2 linked regions of the Alligator mississippiensis genome follow. The protein of the gene in region 1 purifies or fractionates together with the protein of each later gene. This does not show direct contact. Links are inferred from orthologs where the notes say so. Each region holds a gene or a part of one and is shown on either strand. Other genes may lie near its edges.

Region 1 (10,896 bases):
ATGCAGGGTTGATTTTATTTTATTTTTTTCCAAATGTATACCTGGACTCCTGGCCAGTCACCTCAGAAGACGAATTAGGCTCCATGATGGCACTATCTTGCTCAACTCAGGACAAGAATACCACTAACTTTAATTGATCACAGGTGTTAATCATGCTTGCCAGCTTGATGCATAATGTTTGCATTTTTATAAGAAAAACCACACAGGCAGTTTAAGAGTAACAAATAATAAATACTAGAGACTGATCTCATTGGCCAGTGATTTGATTTTAAATGGCAGGGGTTTTTCAGTCTAGCAGTCTGTGTGAACTACTGTTGTTTGCAGTGTGACATTTTTTTCATTTGTAAAATGCCCCAGGCACTGGATTGATTATATGGCACTTGTAAACTAGAAAGATCAAATGTTTGGTTTCGTATATACATCTTGGATGGTTTTAGTTTTAAATTGTTAAAAAATTAACAGGCTGATCCTGAACTAACTCAGGGAAAAAAATAATCTGCTATTAGCTTCATGATCAGGCCTCAAACAGGAAGCAGTTAAGATGTATATTCCTATTAAACTATTTCTTCCCTTTCAGAAAAAAAGGCAAAATATTCCACTACCCTAAGCATGTCTGGCCTATTTTTCCAGGCCAATTTAAGATGTTTACATATCAGAGACTTTGACTTGTGACGGGATCACAATTTCATGAATCCAAAAGACACGTACATTTTGGAGTAAATTTATTAACTGTTAATTTTCTAGAAGTTTAGTGCATTTTTGTAGAGTTTTTATTGAGCAAGTCATTTTTTAAATCTTTGAAGCAGTAGAGAAGATGGAAAAAAAAAAAAAATCAAACTAGTCATCATGCTTTATTACACTGATGGAATGCTAATTTACACTTTGGAAGTTTGAGAAGCTATTTTGCTTTTTGAAAACACGCTACTATTTAGCCTGGGTGATGAAGCTACCTGCTTTGTCATAGCATTCCAATAATTTGAGATCATTTACTGCTAATCAGCCACAATAAGGAAAACCAAAAATCAGCATCTAAAAGCTTCCCATGTTTTTAACAAAATAATCTTCCTAAATTTACCTTTGGTATCCAAATCAACACCCTCCCCCACATCTCCCCCGTGGAGAAACAACTGTGTTCATCAAGATCAGCATCAGCATAAGATATCAACCAAGCAAGAAAATGGAGGAGCAGAGAGGCTGTTCAGCTTTCTTGTTAGGGATCAGTTTAATGCCTTGGTTTCCAGACACTCATGCTCCAACAGCTACTGATACTGCCACTTCAACTCTCCCACTCTTGGATTATATGACTACCTCTCATTCAGCTCATCTCAAATTGGCAACAGATTGTGGGCTGTTCCCAGTTCCAGTCTCTCTCCACAGCTTCTAAGTGACATGAAGAACGATACTGAATATGGTTGAATCAAGTCCAGCACAGAGCCGAGTTCTCAGTCTGATAAACAGGTACAGTAGGGCATAAATGTTGGGAAGTGGCTGATCTAAAAAGTGAGACTGACCTGCTTTGCTGGTAGCTTGAGAATCCAGGCCCCCCCTCAAATCACCACCACCACATTGTGGATCTGAATCACTGACCATTAGCTAACATTTCAATTGGCCTTTGAAATTGGATCCACCACCAGGCATCCAAGTTGGTTTTTTTTTTCCTGAAACAGGAGTGGGAGGGATTGGGTGAGGGTGGAAGAAGTGGCAGCTTTTCTGGTTGCAGTACTTAGAGCTGAGAGGAGAGATTATTCCCTCTGCCACCTCTTGAGGTCAGTGGCAGCTCACCATTAGAGCTCTACCTGTTAATGCTCTAGCACCTTTCAGAGCCAGGGAAGTCCTGCATTTGGACAACAGTTTGATGTAAAAGAGAACCTTCTGTAAGGCACTCCAAGAGGAATGTTCATCAGCTGGCTTCATCTACTATTAACACCCATGTAGATGCAATTTATCTATTTCTCCTTGGTGTTTCACAGGAGTTGGAGTTGCACAGCCAGGATGATGGCCATGTAGCCCTGACATCAGCATACAGGCCTCTTAGAGATGACCCTCTCTCTCATGACAAGCCATATGCTGAGTTTTCCTCCTGAAGTCATGCCTTTTCTCCTTCCACTGTAATATACACAATCTCCTTATTAAATGGGGGTTTCATCTCCACCCTTCATCACTTCACATAGAGTAAATGGCTAAGTAAAATATCCCTCTGTAGATAAGAGAATTAAAACCAGATGCAGCTGCTGGTCCAGGACAGCTGCCATTCACATCTGGAAACAAAACACTCTAGTTGTGCTAATAGAAATAATGTGTTTTTCAGGGTCATCAGGGCACTTGGGAATTTTTAGTTCCTATCTAGTTACAGTGGATTGCATCAAGAATCCCATATGGCCTGCTGCTTCACAAGATAACAATGGCTCATCAGACAATGATTTATCTTCCCAACTCCCTTCACGATTCTAGTCTTATGCACCAATACAAACAGCCACTAGCTTTGGCACTTAATGCTCTTATGAACAGTCTCTAGGATCCTGGGAAAATTACTGCAGAGCCAAAAAATGACTGGACTACATGGTTTTTCATCTGCTTCTGATAAAGCTAGGCAAGGCCTATGCTAGAATGAAGCTTTGTTCCCCATGCTATGAAGTGGAAAGCAATATGGAATTGTTTCCTCAGATTCCCCTGCCCTACGGGGGCTCCATTTCCTGCTCAGACTTGAGTGTTCCCCTCACACACTGGGTGGTCTGTTCCCTTTCCACATTCTGTTGTCTCGCTGCATGCGAACTGCCACGTTCAGTCGTCTTTATTGCCTTCTGATGCTCTCTACACTCTTGTCTTCCTCCCAGCAAGGTGTGCACTCCACATTTCTTTGTTCTCCCTTCTAAAGCTTGGGCCCTTCCCATTCTACCTCCTGCCCTCCAAGATTTTTCCCTACCTCAGGAACTCCGCTTTCCCTTTGCAGAAGTCCTACAGGAGCTCTCTGTACAGTGCACTTCCTCACAAGTACTAGGGAAATCATGCTATGAAGTCACTCATTTTCATACTACTACTTTGTCTTTCAAAACACATGTCCCTTTCATGCAGGGTCTGTCCCCTTGTTCTCCGATTTCCTCAAGCTGGTCCCTTAGGAAGAGTGTTGTGTACAGCATCTCCTGCCTCTAGAAGGCTGTCCTTTTCCATAGTCTCCAGTTTGACTTTTTTCTGCCAAGGCCTCTCCCTCCCACAAAAAATTGTTTCCTCCAAAAAGCCTCCCCCCACCCCCAGTGGTATCCACTTGTTGCAGCTTCATGTGCCCCATCTCAGGGACAGGACTGGAATCCACAGGAAAACACTGGCACCAACTTGCAGCCCTGCCCTCAACACCCCTGCAGTGGAGATGGAAGAAAGTAAGCTGTAGGCAAGGTTTCCTCTGTGCAGGCTGGCCAGGGAGAGAGAGAGAGGGGCAAAGAAAGGGAATGGCCAGTGTCGATCAGTCTGTACATGGTGGGAGAGTGGGGAAACCAAGAGTTAAAAGAAAAAAGTTCAGTGAGGGGCAAGTGCATCAATTTCAGGCTGAGGAGTTGGGAAATGACCTGGAACAGGACCATTTGCAGCCCCTGCATTTGTAACTCTGGCTGCACCCACTTCAATTTGGGCATCATACATACCATAGATTTCCTGTTCTTACATTACCTTCTTCACCAAGTACTTCTTATAGTGTTGTGAAAGCCTTCTTTTTTGCCATTTTACAGCACTGGGCTGTTAACAGTTATGCACCTAGGTCCCTTTACTCACTCAAGTAGTCTCACTGAAGTCAGACTTGCCTGGGCTTGCCCAAGGGATAACCAAATGTGCATGCACGGGGGTTTATGGGACTGAGCCCTTAGTAAGCAAGAAAGTCAGGTCAGAGAGGCAGACGCCCCTAACCAGCTCAAGTGTCCGTAGGAGCATTAATCTGCTTGTTTCTGTATAATCATGTTTTACCTAAGGAGAGCCCACGCTGGCTTTCACAGCAGCGATGACAAATATTAAGATGAAAGGCTCACAATATGCAATAGTAATAGCCTCCCATCTGCTGAGCTACTCTCCACAAGAACTTTTAGAAGGGAAAAGGGGGAGGGAGAGAAAGAAAGAGAGAGAGGAGAAAGAGAAACTAAATGAAATAGGGGCACGTTAAAACAATGTCACCTCCTAATCACAGGTGACTTTTACATTAGGGAGCACCTGCGATCTCCGCTGGAAGGATACAAGTGATTCAGTAAGAGGATATAAGTGATTCAGTAAAAGCTCCTGGTGCGGCGGGGCGGCCGCAATCCCTGATCTTAGACAGAAATAGCTCCACGCAAGTCCTGAACAGGACCCGGAGGGAACACAAGCCCCCGCGGGCCACGGTGCACAGCTCTTACCCGAAGTGTCCCACAGACTCAGCTCTATCCTTTGCGTGTCGATCTCAAAGCTGGCCGTGTAATTCTCAAAGACGGTCGGGACGTAGTTCTGAGGAACAGAGAGAGGGAAAGAGGAGAGAGAGGTGGTTACCGGCGGTAAGGAGCTGGACACAGCAGCAGCAGCAGGTCCGGCTAAGAGCCCGGCAGCCTCCCGGCACCCCTGCGCGCCGGCTGGGGCAGAGGACGGGCAGCGCGCCCCGGGCCGGGACGTACCTCGGGGAAGCAGTCCTTGGCGAAGACGTGGAGCAGGGCGGTCTTGCCGCACTGGCTGTCGCCGACCACCACGATCTTGCACTTCACGTTCTGGTTCGGATCCATGACCGCCTTGCTCGAGAGTTTCTGGCTCGCTCTTCTCTCCTTCATGGGTGTCGCCTTGCGTCCCCGTCCGGCAGAAAGCAGGCAGCCCGCCCGCGCCAGGGGCAGGGAGGAGGCGGGGGGAGCCGAGCGAGGGAGAGCCCGAGCGAGCTGCGTCCTTATCCCCGGCTCGGCTCTGCCCCAAACCTGCTCCCTCCAGCCCGCGCCGCCGCGCTCCGACCCACTGCTTTGTTCCGCGGCGCCGGCCGCTTTTATAAGCCGCCGCCTCCAATCGCGAGCGCCCGCGAGGAGCCGGCTCCGCCCCCAACCCTTTTATGGAGCGGGAGCCGAGCCGGCGACCGGCTGCGCCCGCCCTCTAGGGGAGCTCCGCGGACGTGCCGCCCGGGCCAGTCCGTGCCCCACGGGGAGTGGGGTCCTAGCGCCGCCCTCCAGAAACCTTCCTCCCCGCCACGCTGCCTTAGCCCCCCTCAGCCTCAGGCTCGCTCTGCTCCCAGGTCCAGACATCCCCCGCTCTCTCCGGCCCCAGTGCTCTCAGGTGGGCGGAGGGCAGGTGCAGAGAAAGTCATCCCCTATGCAGAGTATCCAAATAAAAAAAAAAGGACTGCATAACCTACACAGACGCTGGGCATCACACCAAGTGTGAATGCAGACCCCATCATGACTGACAATAAAAGTGAGACATGATGAAAATCACCTGCTCCATCACTGTTCACAGAAGACCCAAAAGGCTTCAAGAAGTCATAGCTATATGAAGTGTGCGAGCTCCTGGAAGAGGTTGTGGGTGCCAAACCAAATCTGTGGGCAGCACTGGAGTGGGCCAGCTGCTGGGTGTTTTATACCAGCACCAGAGACTGGGCACCATCTTGACAGAGAAGTGTGGATCCAGCTGAACAGACTGAAATCCGGAGATGGATGCTTTAAAACAACACTGTACAAGATGAACATCTTGGGCAGCCCTCTGTGTGATGGGGTGTCCGGCAAACAGCACTTGATGGAAAGCTGCAGTCCTTACAATCTTCCCAGATGGAAGCTGCACACTGAGCAGTAATACCAGACAGTGGCTCAACAATTTGGAAGTTGAGATCTGCTGTGACATGAAAGAGGCAGCACCACATCAAAGCCTGCTTCAGTAGGGAAGGTCAAATAGGAGTCGAATCTTCAACCCCAGCACTCAATCAGCCTAAGCGAGGGAAGACTCGGGGCTTTGAATGCTTCATTCAAGGCCCCGTTAGCTGCAGATAGTACCTGCCATCAGAGGTCTTGCCTGCATCTTACCAGAGGTAGGTTACAGAAACACTAGGTAAATCTAGCCAGTCTGTGCCCAGGACTGATGAGAGGAAGGAAGTTCAAGTGTTGGAGCATAAAACATGAAACTCACCTAAGGGGGAGACAAGGTGGCCGTCTGCTCACTGGTGAATTGCACCTGACCTCAATGCAGACTTCTACACCGGAGTGACTTCTACTCTGTGTCGAGCGGTAAGAATAGATAGACATAGCAAGTGGTTGTGTGGGTATAGCATGTATCCTTTAATGAACTCCTCGCTCTCAGTTTTTAAAAAAGGCATAAAATACCCACCAATAATATTGTAAGCTGAACAAGTGTGCTTTAGGCATGTAGTCTCTGCGCCTTATCTGACAGGGGAATTCAGAACTAAATAAAATGTCACTATCAACCTGCTGCCATTAGTTGGGTTGGTTTTATTTTTTTGCTCTTTGGAACCAAATTATGGCAGCATCTAGAGATTTAAAACTGATCATTGATCTTAGTACTAACACACTATCACAGCAAATCAATTCAAGGGAGAACTGGTAGAAAATTCAGAGCCATATAAGAAACAAAATAAAGATGTTGAATCTCTATTTTAAGGAAGAAAACCTTGAATGTGACCTTGCTACAGAGATCAGAACAGAAACTGTGCAACAGCTGGGATTAAATTTTTTACTTTAGGCACAGTCACAGGCAAAGGATGGTTCTTAAAATACATCATTGATGGATTACCCCTGGGAAGGATACCTTTCAGTGAAGTTCTTCCTGTTATTCCTCCTTGTGGGTTTATACCAGCAGCAAAATTATCCATACAATTCAGTATATAAAAGGTAATAATTATTTACTACCTCTCCTGTCCACTCTGTCCCCATATTTTGCTTAGCTGGGTTTACCTCTCTGTGCCCATATACCCCAGATAGTGGTGTTAAAGTGGGATCTTGCTCTGTTAACTTGGACAATTAGTCCAAGACATCGTTATCCATTTGTATATAGATATACAGAGGCATCATGTGTAGACCTCAAGGTGCTGAAAATTAATAGTCTCACAACACCCCAATGTGGCAAGTGCTGCTATTATAGCTTTTTTAAAAACAAAGTTGTATCCCATTAGTGGCCAGGGCTAGCATATACTCTTAAGCATGAGTAAGTATGAATTCAAACTTCATTGTACATTTTTTGCCTTCATTCCTAGGTTGCACAACTGGAACTGAATATTTATCATTCATAAATTAAATAAGGAATGTAGCTCTTTGCTGCTTGGAAGCATTTGCAGAGAGGCCCAGGTTCTTGCAAATATTTTTTATTCATAAGGATTCATTGAATAGTTTGGAAAAATATCTTGCAGCCTGTGTATTTTTTAAATGAATAGTTCCCATCAGCTCTTAACTCATTCTAGTTGTGATGGGTTACCTACATCCCACAATACTGTATTGGATTCCTAGTGGATGACAAACTTTTAAAATCAGGAGATTAATGAATAGCAAACTATAACAGATATTCTTGCTCACAGAAGAAAAAAAATTGTTTGCATTGAAATACTGATATTTGAACATGGCTATTAAAAAATTATTTGCATGGCTGTTAACAAACAGCAAGTCCCAAGGAGATGAAATTAAAGGGGGGGGAAGGGGGGAAGAGCAGGAAGAATTATTTTGTTGTTCACATGAAGTCTACCTGTGCCACATTCTAATCCCAATCTTGTGCAATACCTGAAATTAAGTTACTGGTGTTTATCTGAAGCACTATGTAGTACAACTTGGCTCTAGTTGCCCATCTATAATTTAGAAGTTTGATATGCCTCTTAGGTCTAATGTAAATGTATATTTGAAGGAGTTAAAGTGAAGCACAGGCCTTGCTTCCATTAGTCTTTTGGAGAGTGGGTAATTTTGAGCAGTGACTGAATGCAGGTGTTAAGTACATCAGCAATGTCCAAGACAGTGGTGGTAGAATATACAGATAAAAAAATAAATAAATAAATAAATAAATAAATAAATAAATAATACACACACACACACACACACTGATTGTAGGTAGCTTATGAGTGCTGCTACAGGGTACCCACCTCTAAAAGCCTATATTAGCATCTATACTGTCTGCTCTCTCTCCTATTCAGTAGTCTCACCTACCATACATTTATCTCAACAATTAGTAGAGGAAGCTGCACACAGAGGGCAAGGCATGCTTCTGAAGAGGTGAGCCCTGTCTGGTCCAAGGCTCCCCCCTGGTCTCATCCCATTTTACTGTTGCAGAGCCTTCCAGCTTGGGGCCCGTTGTTCAGGGCTACAAGCTCCTGGCTCCACACCAGTCATGTCCCATAACCTTAGGTCTCAGCACCCGCAATATCGCCACATAGGCAGCTAGGAGCCTTAAGTCCTGTTTTTTCCCTGCCACCTCCTGCCTTAGAGTCCTGTAAGGCAAGCTCAGCTTCCAAAGGGCCACAGAATACTCTCTAGTCTTTATCCTCTGTCCATTCAGTACAGTTTCAAGTCTGAGGTGTCCCCAGTCACCCCCTTTCAGTGGCTTCCCCTAAAGCCACAACTCAGCCCTCTGGGGAAAATGCAAGTCACAAAATGCAAGCACCAGTCCCAGTTCAAAGGAACATCCCACATGGGGTTTGCTACACCCCTTGGGGACAGGCTCCAAATAGAAAGGAAAACAAAACAAAGAGTGCCTGGGGTACTTAGCTTGCTTCCCATGCAACTGCCCAGCTTCCCTTCACTTGGGGCTACCACCTGCATCCTCTCACCAGAGTCTGGACTCAAGTCCTTATTCATCACAGAACAAGCTGCATCCTCAATGACTCCCACAGTCAGACTGCCTACCTTGACTTGAGACTTGGGTTTATATAGGGCTCCCTAGGTCACATGACCCCCTACTTTCTCTTCCTGTGTCATCAAGCTCTGCCTGCACCTGGACCCAGTGACCATCTTACTTTAGGCTTCTCTGCCTGTGAATTTGCATGTGGCATTACCGCTGGAGCACAGGCAGAAGAGAGAGATGAAATGGGAAGGAAGAGAGAAGTGGGGAGAGAAGTCAGAACTACATAACCAGGAAACGAGGGGGGATGGACCTCTACCAGAGACAGGATGCACTGGCAAACACACAAAATGTAAGAGAGGCAAAGGGGGCGGGGGTGAAGGAAGGGAAAGGGGGCAGGTACCCCTGGCTCCTCTTCTCATTCTAGTGACAAGGTAGGGGCACCCTCACACTGGTATAAGTCCATTTCTGGGCTATGGCTCAGTTCTCCACCCAAGATTCAGCATAGAGTGAAAGGAAAAGAAAAATAACGTTCAAATGCTCATATTACCAGGTCTAGCTGGTGACTTTTCAGAATCATGTAAATTGTTTGGAAAAGACATCTAACTATGTTAGGAATGTGGAAACTTTAATGCATGTGGAACACTTGGCTCATCCTGACTATTGTTATCACCAAAGATCTTCCACCAGCACACAGTACAGAGAAACATTGAAAGGGAAGACTATTTGAACAGTTTGTTCTTTTTTATGATCCGGATGCTGCCACTTTTGATAACCTAAAAAAACCCACTGCTTTCAGGTTGTCTTGAAGTACTCTGCATTCTGTCAAAAAGCAAGCAAAGGAATTCTCTTTGGGTCTTCATATGCCAAGTTGCAGAACATCAAAGTTTCTAAGACTGAACTAATATTACAAGAGGTCACCAAACATTATCAAATGCTCATTGGCTCACAGGTACTGTAGTAGTGAAAGGAGACCAGTGTGGAAGGAAGGGAAAAAAAAGAAAGGAACCCAGTTATAACTACTCTAGATTGATTTTTAAGTGAAACAAAAGGAACTCAGAGCTGTATGTACTGGTCACAATAAATGTTTGTTCAAAAGCTAGCAAAGTGAAGTGAAAGACATGCCTGTCCACTGCTAAAACATTTTGGTTATTGTAAATCAGTAGGGAAATTATTCTGGAGATTTTAATCCTTGTGAAACTATTAATTATTTAAAATAAATAGAGTTAATGCCTAATCAAGTATCTTAATACCTTGGGAAATAGTCCACAAGAGTTATCATTTCCATTGGAATTTTGTGTACAGGGGCTTGGTTTGGATTTGTAAATCAGAGTTAGTTGTTCTGTTAAGCTCAAATTCTTTGTTTTTCTTCATTTATAATCCTTTTCTAAAATTTCACATTTCTCTACCTTCTACTTAAGGATAGGGGTCCATACTATAGAGAAAAATCTATGTTAATTAATACAATTTTGCTTAACGTTGTATGGGAATGTCAAGGTGCATTTCCTACCGCTCACAGATCATTTCTTTGAACACTATTACTATGGCTTCAGTAAAATAGTTGATACTAGGGGCTTTAGTATCAGTGACTGCTGCATAATTTGAATTTGAAATTATCATCAAAATTTCTGTCCATCCATCTATCCAGTACCAATCAATCAACCAAGAATCAATGTGGAAGTTATTAAATAATATTACTTATATAAAACTTGCACTTCAGTTTTTTTTCCCTTTATATTACAAAATGAGGTTAGAAGAACATTATCAGTGTTGCAAGGTCAAGCACTCAAGCGTTAGGAAATGCGTATTTCCTGCGTGTAGGAAATGTCAGCCCCCTTGTGCATAATCATCATGATGCAGCCTTAAATTAAGTTATCATGCACTAGTTTTTTCCACAGGCCCCTAGAACTCATTACACATATGGGATAATGTTATTCAATAATTTGTTTACCTTTGGTTTGGTATTGGCTTGTTTAATGGACACTATTCAAATCCTGCTCCCAACACACAATTATTAATTCCTTATAGGCTCTTTATGGCACTTAGCACAATAGTATCCGAGCACTTTACAAATATTAATGCACTGCTTTTCACAATACCCCTATGAGGTGAGATGGGGGCAGGAAAGAAAATGCAGATTGGGAA
Region 2 (10,725 bases), on another chromosome or scaffold:
ACAGCCAAGGCTGCCTTTCCAGCCAGACCTGTGACCACAAGCAGCTCTGAGTCCCGGCTTATTCCTAGAGCCATGCTCACCACTGCTTCTCTGGCTCTCTGCTTGCTCTTGTCACCTGTCTCTGGCACAGGCAAGGGTACATACATGCAAACCAAATGATGCCCCCACTCCTGCATCCGCTGACTAGTACCAGAGAAACACCTCAGCTCTCACCGCTTGGCTACTTACTGCTTGGTACTCACTATGCTGGCCTGTACCTTGCTTCAGCTCTCACCACAAAAAGGACCTGCCAGCCTCCTTCTGGCAATCAGGCAAGACTTGGCCTCAAGGTGACCCTGGAGTTTCTGCTACGATTTAATTGCTCCTTCATTTAATCTGAATGAAGCGTGCTTATTCCTTCCAGCGACTGGCTGGCAGCCCCTCCACCTCCCATCACATTAATATTTTGGGGTATTTGTGGTGCTTAGAAGAGACGGACATCCTAGGAACTAGTAACAAAACATATTTAGCCACACACAGTGTTCTCTTGGACTGCCTGAATTCAGTCCCCCAAAGCCTCAGGCCCCTCAGCAGAATCAGTGGAGACCAGAGTCCAGCTAAGGCAACGGGGAGGAGTTCCCAGCCCCAGCAATTCAGTGCTCCTTGCTCTTGGCCCAAAAAAATCTCATATCTCCTCCAACACCCGAGTGCTGCTCGAGAATCCAAGTAGAACTGTCATTGGGCTGGTATAGGACTGAGCCACCAAGGGCAGTGAGGAGACAGGGGGATGGATTTCCATTTTCAGGACACTGTGGTACACACTGGAGAGAACTGACTCTTCCCAGGCCACTGAGAGAGCCCGAGACACAGGCCGTAGTCCCTGCCAAGTGAGGGAGCAATGCCATGGAAACTAGGAGCTTCCATCTCAGGAACGAGCACCACATTCTGCAGCAAATGCTCCTTTGTAAGAAGTGGTGTTGTAGGGGTGGGCCAAAATGCCTCACTCATGGCCTGCAGTCACCTGTCAGGGTTTGCCATGATGGGCCAGAGACCAGATGTCTCCCAGAACTGGGCTGGTTTCTGCCTCCATGCAGCATCCATGAGTCACCACTTCCGTGTTGCCAGAGGTGGTTTCTCCTCTTTCTTTTCCTATTTCTAACACCCAATTCAGCAGCTCTGTGTCATCCATTGGGTCAGCTGTCAGCAGGCTGCCTCTCTCCCTGGCTTATTTGTACATTGTATGCTTCTTGGGGCTGGACATGGGTCTGCCTTCATATCAAATGCCAAGGGCCTGCAGGATAGTGCACATGCATGCCTAGTGAGTAGGAGAGCAGCTCAGTGGCACAGTTAGCAATACCACTGCTCAGCAGGAAGCGGCCATGGGACACTGAGGGCATTCAGGTATATGAAGCACATGCTTGGCATGCTTGGGGCCTTAGCCCTTTCTTTTTTTTTTTTTTTTTTTGCCTCAAAAGCACAAATTTGTCTTTTGCTTTTGAGTCCAGAGCAGCAGGCTGTGATCCCAAAGCTGAGGAGCTTCCTTGTATCAAGGAACAAACATGTCCATACCATTTGATTTTGAGGGCCAGAGCAGGAACTACTTGAGCTTTGTCTTCTGGAAGGGAACAATCTGACCCCTGGTCCCTTTCCTCAACCTGCACATGCCTTTGCAGAAGCTTCTTCCCACTGGGATCCCCACAGACTGACAGGGGGGAACGCACAAACACAGACAGAGCAGTTAACACTGTTCCTGCTGGGAGAATAAACCCTCCTTCCATAGATGACTGGTAGGAGAGCACAGGGGGCACATGCCCCCCCTTACAGGGTTGCCGCTGCTGCCACCACCTTCTGCGAGTTCCACCCCCCCCCAGACTTGGGAGAAACCAGTTGCTCATGCCTCCTTCTGCAGAATCCAGACAAGATGTGCTGGCTCCCAGCAGCAGACACACACAGCAATGTGCTGGTCAGGCTAGAGATAATCAGCTTATTCTCTGGGCCAACAGAAACTAGCAGCATTGAGCCTTGCAGAAACCAGAGGAGCATTTCACCTGCTTGCTGCAGAGATGTGGCCAACCAGGCCATAGCAGGTACTAGTGTGTGCATGCAGATGGGCAACAGGCCATTTTCTGCCACACATCCTTTGGTGACAGCCAGTTGAGAGGGTGGGCTGAAGCCTCCAGTCTCTCAGTTGCAGCAGCATAGGGCTTAGAGGAAGGCTGTTCTGGGGAGACCTTGCAGCAGACAGTTGGAGGCCAGAGGGCTGTATGCTGGTATGTGGAGGAGAGGCTACACCAAGCTGAGCTGAGCTTCAGCACATCTGAGACCAGATTGCAAGGAGCGACCTGAGGCATATTCCCTTCTCCCCTGTATCAACAGCTCAATTAGAGTTTGTGTGAGCTGACCCCAGCCTCTACGTCATGAAAGCTGACCCCAGCAGCCACCACAACCCCCACCACAACCCCCCAGGCCTATGATATCAGCCCTCTTCAGCCCCCTAAGACTGCACATGCTCAAGCCAGGTTAGTCTCTGTCCCTTGTAGCTCCTCCACATGATGGGCTGCTTCAAAGCTGCCCCTCACCCCTCCCCAGGTCAGATGCCAGGGTGGCTCCATCTGCACTCCCCTGCCACAGTGGAATGCACTGCCATGCAGCCACAGCCCCTGGAAGCAGCCAGGGACATGTATACCACAAGAGTGGGGACAGGATCCCATGGGTAGCACAAGGGCCAGGAGAGGAGAGGCCCACAGCTCTGGGGAACAGGCTCCTGCTAGTGATAAGCCCCAGGGTGAGCGGGGCCAGACTCATGACTTTATCGGATAGGGATGGGAGTAATGTGCCTGCTGTGAAGCTTTGCTGCCCACATGCTGAAACCAGTCCCTGGAGAACACAATAACCACTCTGTCCGAGGCTGCATCGCCATGGTGTCTGGTGGCTTAGTAACAGCAGCCCTATTGGCTGGCCTGCTGGAATTATCATTGCAGTTGACCTATTATGAATAATAATGGGCACAAATCAGAAATTCTTTCATGCAGGCAAGAGGAAGTTTTTTAAACATACTGAAAACTCAGACAGAGAAGGGACAGGCAGCCCTTGGCCAAACCCGGGACGCCAGGCCTGCATTAGCACAGCTCTGCCCTGCAGGTAGGAGAAGAGGGATGGAGCCCTGCTGGCCTCATCCTGGCAATCAGTTATGGCCTGGCCTCAGGGGGACCCAGGACTTTCTGTTGCAATGGGGATAGGCTTTATGAAAATGCACAAACCCAAACCCAATCTGAGGATCAGATGCAGGCTGGGACAGGAGCTTCATCCCAAACCCCACCCAAAAGCCAGATCTTTCCTTTATTTCTATGCTAAGAGCAAAGTCCAAAAGTGCCGAGCGGAAAACCTCTAGACTCTAGGGAAAACATATGCTGCCCTCCTGCTACCATGCCTGGTTGGTTCAGGGTCTACCTGGAAAGCCCCCAATTCCAGACTTGGTGGGAGAGTTCTCTCAGTCTTCACCCCAGAGCAAGGCAGACCTGCACAGCTCAGACCATGAGCCACTCATTGCCCACACCCTGTGGGCTGAGGTGGATGTCAGATGCTAAGCCAGGTAGACAGGCTGCCCGCCCTTAGCATCAGCCCTCTGAACACCCAAGTGCTGCCAGCTAAGTCATGCTCCTACTATGCAGGTGACACAGGGAAGCAAAGTGGTGGCAGGGCACCAAGTCCTGCCCCTCACACTGCCCAGACAGGAAGGTGCATTCATCACTATCTTTACCCACCTCACAAAACACCCCCAGAATTCGGTGCCTATCTGGACTGAAACTAAACATTCAGACAGCAGGCAGCAAGCACTATGGGCAAGGGAGGCCCCAGCAATTGGTTTTCGATTAACAGAAACCAGGTGCTGGGAGCTGTCATATATATCCATACCTCCTGGGAGAGCTTTCTCCTAGCACTAGAGGCAAGTGACTCCATGCTCCATCCCAGCATTCATCTGTAACCTGCCCTTACCCTCCCCACATGGGAGCAAGCCTAGAGCTGCAGAGAGCTAACAGCAGGTTGGCAAGCCAGACCTGCATTCTCACACCTGCTGAGTGCAATGTAGGTCACCCATCTAGGGCTGGGGCAGAGCCCCCCACAAAATGTCTATGAAGGAAAAGCTGGTTGCTTCTTTGCCAGCTGGCTCTCAGCAGCAGGAACAGCATGTGCATGCTAGTTGGGCAACCTCAGCCATTGCCCACGGAGCAACCTTCCCATCCCCACAGCAAAGCCAACCTACCCCCAAGGTCCTCAATAATATCCAAGGTGGAGCTCCAGGAGAAGCGTTCCACTGCCCCATATTCCAGCTCTGTCAGAGATGTCGGGAGAGCTTCCAGCTCATATGCGCCCCGCTTCTTCCAGTACAGAAACATGTTGAAGAGGTTCGGGTCTCTTCCTTGTTTGCCCAACAACCAGAAGAGGGTTATGGCTCTTTGCTGCTTGAAAGGGTGCCCGCAGCATGTTTCCACAGCAATACCATCTGTGGGACTAGCAGAAGAAGACTGGAACTCAGCTGCACAGAACAGGTCCCGGTTTCTGGACAAGCACTGCATTCATCCTGAGGCGCGGGAGTCCTGGAGTGGTGGAGGGTGCTGCTTGAGCCTGGGCGATGCTCAAAGGGGCAGACAAAGGGGCTTTCTTCAGACTCCTACAGACATTGCACACATTTCACTTTCCACCATCTCAGACAGAAAATCAGCTGAGGGGACAGGACGCGTATGTGATTATTCTGGCCACTGGGAAGAATAGGGCAGTTCAGCCATTCTGCCTGCACAATAACCTCCCAAAAGAAGAATGTCTCCCCATCCCCTACTCCTGCACCTTTTCCCCAGGAAGGAAGTTCACAGTGCAAACCCAGTGTTAACTGCAACAGCCAGCATGAGGTATGGACAGTGCCTGTTTTGACACGCATTTTGCTACCATTAAGAAAAGTCACTGACCATTTCCAGCCCTGGAGAAAGAGGGGTCAGTGTCAGGTGGGTGGACTGCAGGCTGCAGCTGTGTGAAAGACAGGAGAGACCATGCTGGAGAAGGGAAGAGTCCTAGCCATGCTGTTCTCCAGATGGGACAAGAGAGCTCAGTCCCTGAACAGTGAATAAGGAGCTCCAGCCATCACTCCCCATCTGGCTCATCTAGGAAACACCAACTATCCCCACCCCAGAGATCAGCCCTATCCTGAGCCAAGGATTAGCACTTGGGAATGCTGCAATTAAGGCATCTTGTGCAGAGTGCCTGGGCCAATCTGGGTGCAACCACACCAGCATGGGGCTTGATACCAACTCACCCCAGCATTTGCCCAGTTCTCTGAACAGGGATTAGAGCTCAATCACAGGGATCACAAATGAAAATCTGACAATGCTGAAGTCACAACCACCCATGGCACTGGTAGGATTCATGACAGCATGAAGCCATGCCTCGATAAATACCCTATAGCAGACTTGACAAACCAGAGTGTTTCACCTTGGTGCTCAAGCCACGGTGTCGGGAACACTACATTGGTTAGCAAGTGTCTGCCAGCATGGAGACCCTGGCAACACAACAGTTAAACTACATGCTCCAGGCACCAGCAAACATCACTAATGCTCCCAATTTCCACTCTCTGTTCAGACACCTGGTTGCGATTCAAGTTTTAAGACTGCGGTAAAGTTCTGTTCCAGCTCACCCTGGCTCACACAATGGAATTTCCCCCTTCAGTATGAGCAATTGGAAAAGGTTTGTGCAGGGTCTAAAACCCGGCTAGGTGCATAGCTAGCTCCGTGGGCCAGGCCCTCTCCACAGATTTTCTTGACAAGCAATTTCAGAAGCAGTCTGCAAAAAGCTTCTAGGGAGTTTGGTGATGGAACAGGGTTGGGGATGACAGCACAATTCACAGTCCTCTACAGCCCCAAGAAACCCCAACCACCCAGCAGACAGATCCTGCCCATGATGGGGCTGGATTGTTTCATTCTTGCTGTGACTCCACAAGCAAGAGTTCAAGCCCCACTTTGGATTCCTGCCAAAGGCTGACCCGGACGCAAATGGGCACCTGGTTATTCAGTCTGCAGGACCAAAGGCAACAGGAGGCAATGCCACTTACATCCCTCCCTTGCATACTGAAAGCGCCTGGTCCCTCTGGGTTACCAGCTTCAGGACGCCTTTTGGCTTGGCTGAGCACTTCGGCCTGCCCTTTCAGATAAACCATTTGCTGGCCACAGAACCCCAGAGCAATTCAGGATACACCCACAGCAGCTGCACTGCAAATGTGCATCTCTCCCTGGCAGACAAGGTTCTTTGGGTGAATCTGATATCTTTTATTAGACCAACTTAAATAGTTGGAAAACAATTATTAAGCAAGCTTTCGGGTTCAAAAACCCTTCATCAGGCTAAGGAAGTTTCTGCAGTTGGTACGTGCTCTGGTATGTGCTCTGGTTCCCAGAGACAAGCCTATGAACTCCACTTCAACCACCTCCTGGATACTAAAAATCATAGACTAAATATAGACATTGGATTTATGACACATTATAACCTGCCTGACATCTGACTCCCCAGGTCTCTCTCCATTATTCATCCCCCTTCTCTCCCCCCCAGCCTGTCTCTCACCCATTGACTCCTCGATCTGCATTTTCACTGACTACCTGTCTTGTATGCATACCCGACCAGCCTCTGGCTTCTTTACTTTCCATTCCATCCAGGAAGAGCATGCACCAACTGCAGAAACTTCCTTAGCCTAACGAAGGGTTTTTGAACCCGAAAGCTTGCTTAATAATTGTTTTCCAACTATTTAAGTTGGTCTAATAAAAGATATCAGATTCACCCAAAGAACCTTGTCTGCCTGTGTCCTTAGACCAACACGGCTACAACCTACACCTGTCATCTCTCCCTAGTTATGCAAGATTCATTGACACTTTCTTTTCAATTGTTCAGAATCAGATGATATGGGAGACCGCAAAGCACTATGGGGAAGTATTGTTCTGGGGCAGAGGACGCAGATGGAGACAGGTTTGCAGCTGGCTCATTCTGCTGCTTCTCTCCTGCCTGGAGTCAGCCTGCGACCAGGAGGCACAACTGAATGAGGGCAAGTCTCACAAGGGTAGGAAAGAGCTAAGGAGACTCAGACCCAGGCCATAAGCAACCACATTTCGGCTGTGGGAGGCATTCAGGCTTCCGGTAGCCACCTCCTACTTGACCAGAATTTATACCATCCTATTATTTAATAAGGAGTTGTAGTGAGGTCCACCCAATGGCAGCCAAACCTGCCAGGTTTGGAATAGCCACCGGCCATAGGAAATTCTGAGGGCAACAAGAAGGGACTGACCAACCAAGGTCTGACTGCTTCCTGGTCCATGTGCTTTTGGGGCAAGTGGCTGTCAGGAAAGTGCAAATGCAGTGTGAATGCTCCAGGCACAGAGAGCTGGGTGCCACTGTGAGAATGTGAGTACGGAAGAGAACAGTTGGTTTATGAATCACAGGTTGCCACACGTGTCTGGAGTGGGACTGTGTGGCAGCTGCCAGCTTGTCTATGTGCAATAGTCAACTGGAGAACTCAAGAGCTTAAAAGCACAAATGTCTACAGCTTGAGATAGGCAAACTCTTCCCCTCCCACAGGCTGGGGGGACAGAAGGGAGCTTGCAGGGTGCCAAGGGATGGAACCCTCCTTTACTAAACTTCTCCCATGGCTCCACCCTGCTCTCCTCTTTCCCCCTTCTCACCAGCTTCTCTGTCCCCTCAACAAGGAAGACCACAGACAGAGGGACTGGCTACAGTGAGAACAACTGCGTAGTCAGGAAACTCAGGCCCTCACCACAGAAACCTGCAGTCACCATGGAGCAGCTGCTCACAGCTCTTCCACTAAGTGATCAGATTTGCAGCACAGCCCTTCACAACCTCCTTGGATCCCCCAGAGTCCCAAATATGCTCTTCCCCAGGGAACACAATGCAAGGGCCTGTCAGCCATTCACCACAGTACCTAAGTCCTGCAAGCATGGGCTGGGGCTGAAGAGATGCACCTAACCCAGGACATAAAGAACCCAGCCCCTGGGTCATTCCCTTTGAAGGGCTGCGGGACAAGCACAAAGGTTGATCAGACAAAGGTCTACCCAGCCAACAAGGCACCAAATGTGGCTGTGCGCACTCAAGACAATTATGCATATATATGTAAATCAGGCACAAGCCTCCAGCTTCTGGCAAGCTACCAGCTTGGCAGACTCCATGCCAATGTCCGGGTCTTTCCTCTGAGGGTCATCAGCGTGAAAGGCAAGCAAAAGAAAAATGTTTCTGGGAAAAAAAAGGGGGGCCAACTTTCCCGAGGGCCTTTGAGCTCTAGCTATGTGCTCTCATGACATTGGCACAGAGCCCTCTGCTCCCAGCCCAGCACACAAGGAGCTCAAGTGCTCAGGGCTTCTGCAGCACTTCCTGCCAAGGTGACATCTTGACCCCCTCTGCTTTTCCCATTGGGCGGCCAGCACTGGGACCTGGCCTCTGTGCCAGTGCAAGATGCTCACTTTGCACCCAGGGTTGGCATTGGGGAACATAACACTGCTCTGGGCCAGGGGCAGGAGCAGGGTTCATTTACCTCCAGCGGGGGGGGGAGGGGGCTCTGACAAAGAAACCAAAAGAACAGGACAAGGCAGCGGCAGGACCTGCTCACCTTTTTTGACTTCACCTCTACACACCATCTCCCTAACATGCAGTGCTTTGCTGTGCTAGATTGTGAACCATATGCACTTAGCATCACCAGGCCAGGCCCCAACAGCCTGATCACAGACTAATAACAGTTTAATGCAAGAACCAACAAGTTGGTGAGGAGAAAGGACACAGAAAGGTCAGACTCAATGAGGAAATCATTTCCTTTCCCAAGTTTCTCAGCTCTGCCTGTCAGATCCTTCCAGACAAGGGCTCCTCCAGAATGCTCTGTCACAGATGCAGACAACCAGTCACTTCCCTGTAAAAAGGTGGCATGGAATACCATACACCCAGTGAGTGCCAAACACTGTCAGGTAAACTACTCTGACACAGTAGCCCTGTCCCTCCCCGAAGGCTTCTCTGTCACTCTTTGCACTTTTGCCTGTGACCTCTCCCATCTCTGTTGGCTATGACCTTCAGTTCTCATTCCTCAGGGTGCCCCCAGTTCAGAGTACTGCAACCTGCCTGTACTCTGGCAAGCCCACACGCTCTGGCAGTTTTAACACAGTGACCCAATGTCCTGCTGAGATAAAGGCAGAGAGCACGGCGGAGAATGAGTCAGGTTCCAAGGGAGGCGGGCAGAAAGCAGTGGAGGAAGAAGATGCCCCAGACAGGGTAGGCTCTGGACTTGATGTGGCCAGTATGCTTCCAAGGAATGGCCCCTTGGGAAGATGCTGTTCCAACCAGCCCCGCAGTTTGCCACTGCTCTTTGCCTGCCTCTTCCTCCCATTTGCAGTCCCTCCCTTACACTTCCCGCAATATATCTGTTGCATTTCCACCATGCTGCAGCCTGGCTGTTTCGGAGCATTCTTTTATAACCACCTTCATATCCCCTCCCTGGGAAGCTATGCTGCTGCACAGCCACTCCATTGAGAGTGCACTTTGTTTCTGGTTTGTTGCCCCAGACTTATTGTGGTAGGCTTGTCTACATCAAACCACATTTTCCATAAACTGACTCTGCCACGGAGAAGATCCAAAGCCTCTGTGCCTGCATTCTTCTGTGCAGATTACACAAGCTTTTCTTTCAGCTTCATATTCTCTGCTCATTGGTTATTCAGGCCAGTCCTCTCGGCTTTGTCTGGAGTTTCTTTGATACAAATTCAATCTTGCCTCAGATTGACAGACAACACCAGCACTCTAAGGTAAGCCCAGGCCCAGAAGGACAGAACCAAACCTGTACTGATTAGCATAAGACCCTATGCACAGGAAAAAGAAACACCCTGCATGATGGTGCATGTGCGTGCGTTGGGGGGCTGGGGCATATCCACTGCAGATAGGTGACCGGCATCTAGCTTTTCTTCTGCCTTGAATGCTGTCTGAGAAACTGAGTCCTCCAGGAGCAGAAATGAAGTATTCACACCTGGATCTCTGTCTTTACAATGGATATACAACATAAGAAGGCCAGCCTGGACTGCTGTTTGGTACTGGAGCAGGGGTGAACGGGACCGTTTCCCTCACCCTGTACACCAGACCAGCCACGACAGTCAGCCTGCTAGACTCACAGCCAGTAAAACAAGTGACGGGAGAACAGCTGCATTTCAAAGAGAACCAACCAACCACAATCCAGAGTCTCAGAAGGCTGGAAGTGCCAACTGGGGGTGAGCCATGAAACTACAGATTGAGTGAGTTTAGTAGAGAAAACATGAACAGAGAGTGGAGACCCAAATGGCTGTGCCCCACTGGAAGGTGGGTGCAGAACACTTCTGCCTGACCTTATCCATACCAAGGGATTATCAACAGGAGGGGTGAACACTCCTAGTCATGGCCAAGCGTGGAAGAATCCATAAGCACCTGTGGTCTTGCCAACCAAGTCAGGCTGCCCCTCTCCAGAAAGAGCTCCCAATGCACAACTCAAACCTTGCTGTGCACAACTCTGCAGTGGAGCTGGAAGAAATCTAGCAGCCAGAGCATCCCACTGCACTTGCTCAGCCCAGGTCCATCAGGACCAAAGCTGCAGGGTGCAAGAGGGAGAAAGCAGCATGAGTCACCACATTTTAGCAGGACAAGATAACAGAAAAAATATAAGGTGCACTTGTGTAACAGCCACAAACCAGGAGTACC

Evidence for each region.
Region 2: the proteins of RND3 (region 1) and PLEKHG5 purify together in Homo sapiens (affinity purification with western blotting; 3 studies listed by BioGRID and IntAct, with this or other methods). This does not show direct contact. The link is inferred for Alligator mississippiensis from reciprocal best matches to the Homo sapiens genes RND3 and PLEKHG5.

The regions. Positions count from the first base shown.
Region 1 is NC_081827.1:227,769,627-227,780,522, reverse strand, and holds the start of RND3 (rho-related GTP-binding protein RhoE), read right to left. Parts: upstream 4,966-10,896; 5' UTR 4,776-4,965; coding exon 4,626-4,775; intron 4,462-4,625; coding exon 4,374-4,461; intron 1-4,373. UniProt on the Homo sapiens protein: Binds GTP but lacks intrinsic GTPase activity and is resistant to Rho-specific GTPase-activating proteins.
Region 2 is NC_081836.1:18,548,590-18,559,314, forward strand, and holds the start of PLEKHG5 (pleckstrin homology domain-containing family G member 5), read right to left. Parts: upstream 4,456-10,725; 5' UTR 4,377-4,455; coding exon 4,244-4,376; intron 1-4,243. UniProt on the Homo sapiens protein: Functions as a guanine exchange factor (GEF) for RAB26 and thus regulates autophagy of synaptic vesicles in axon terminal of motoneurons. Involved in the control of neuronal cell differentiation.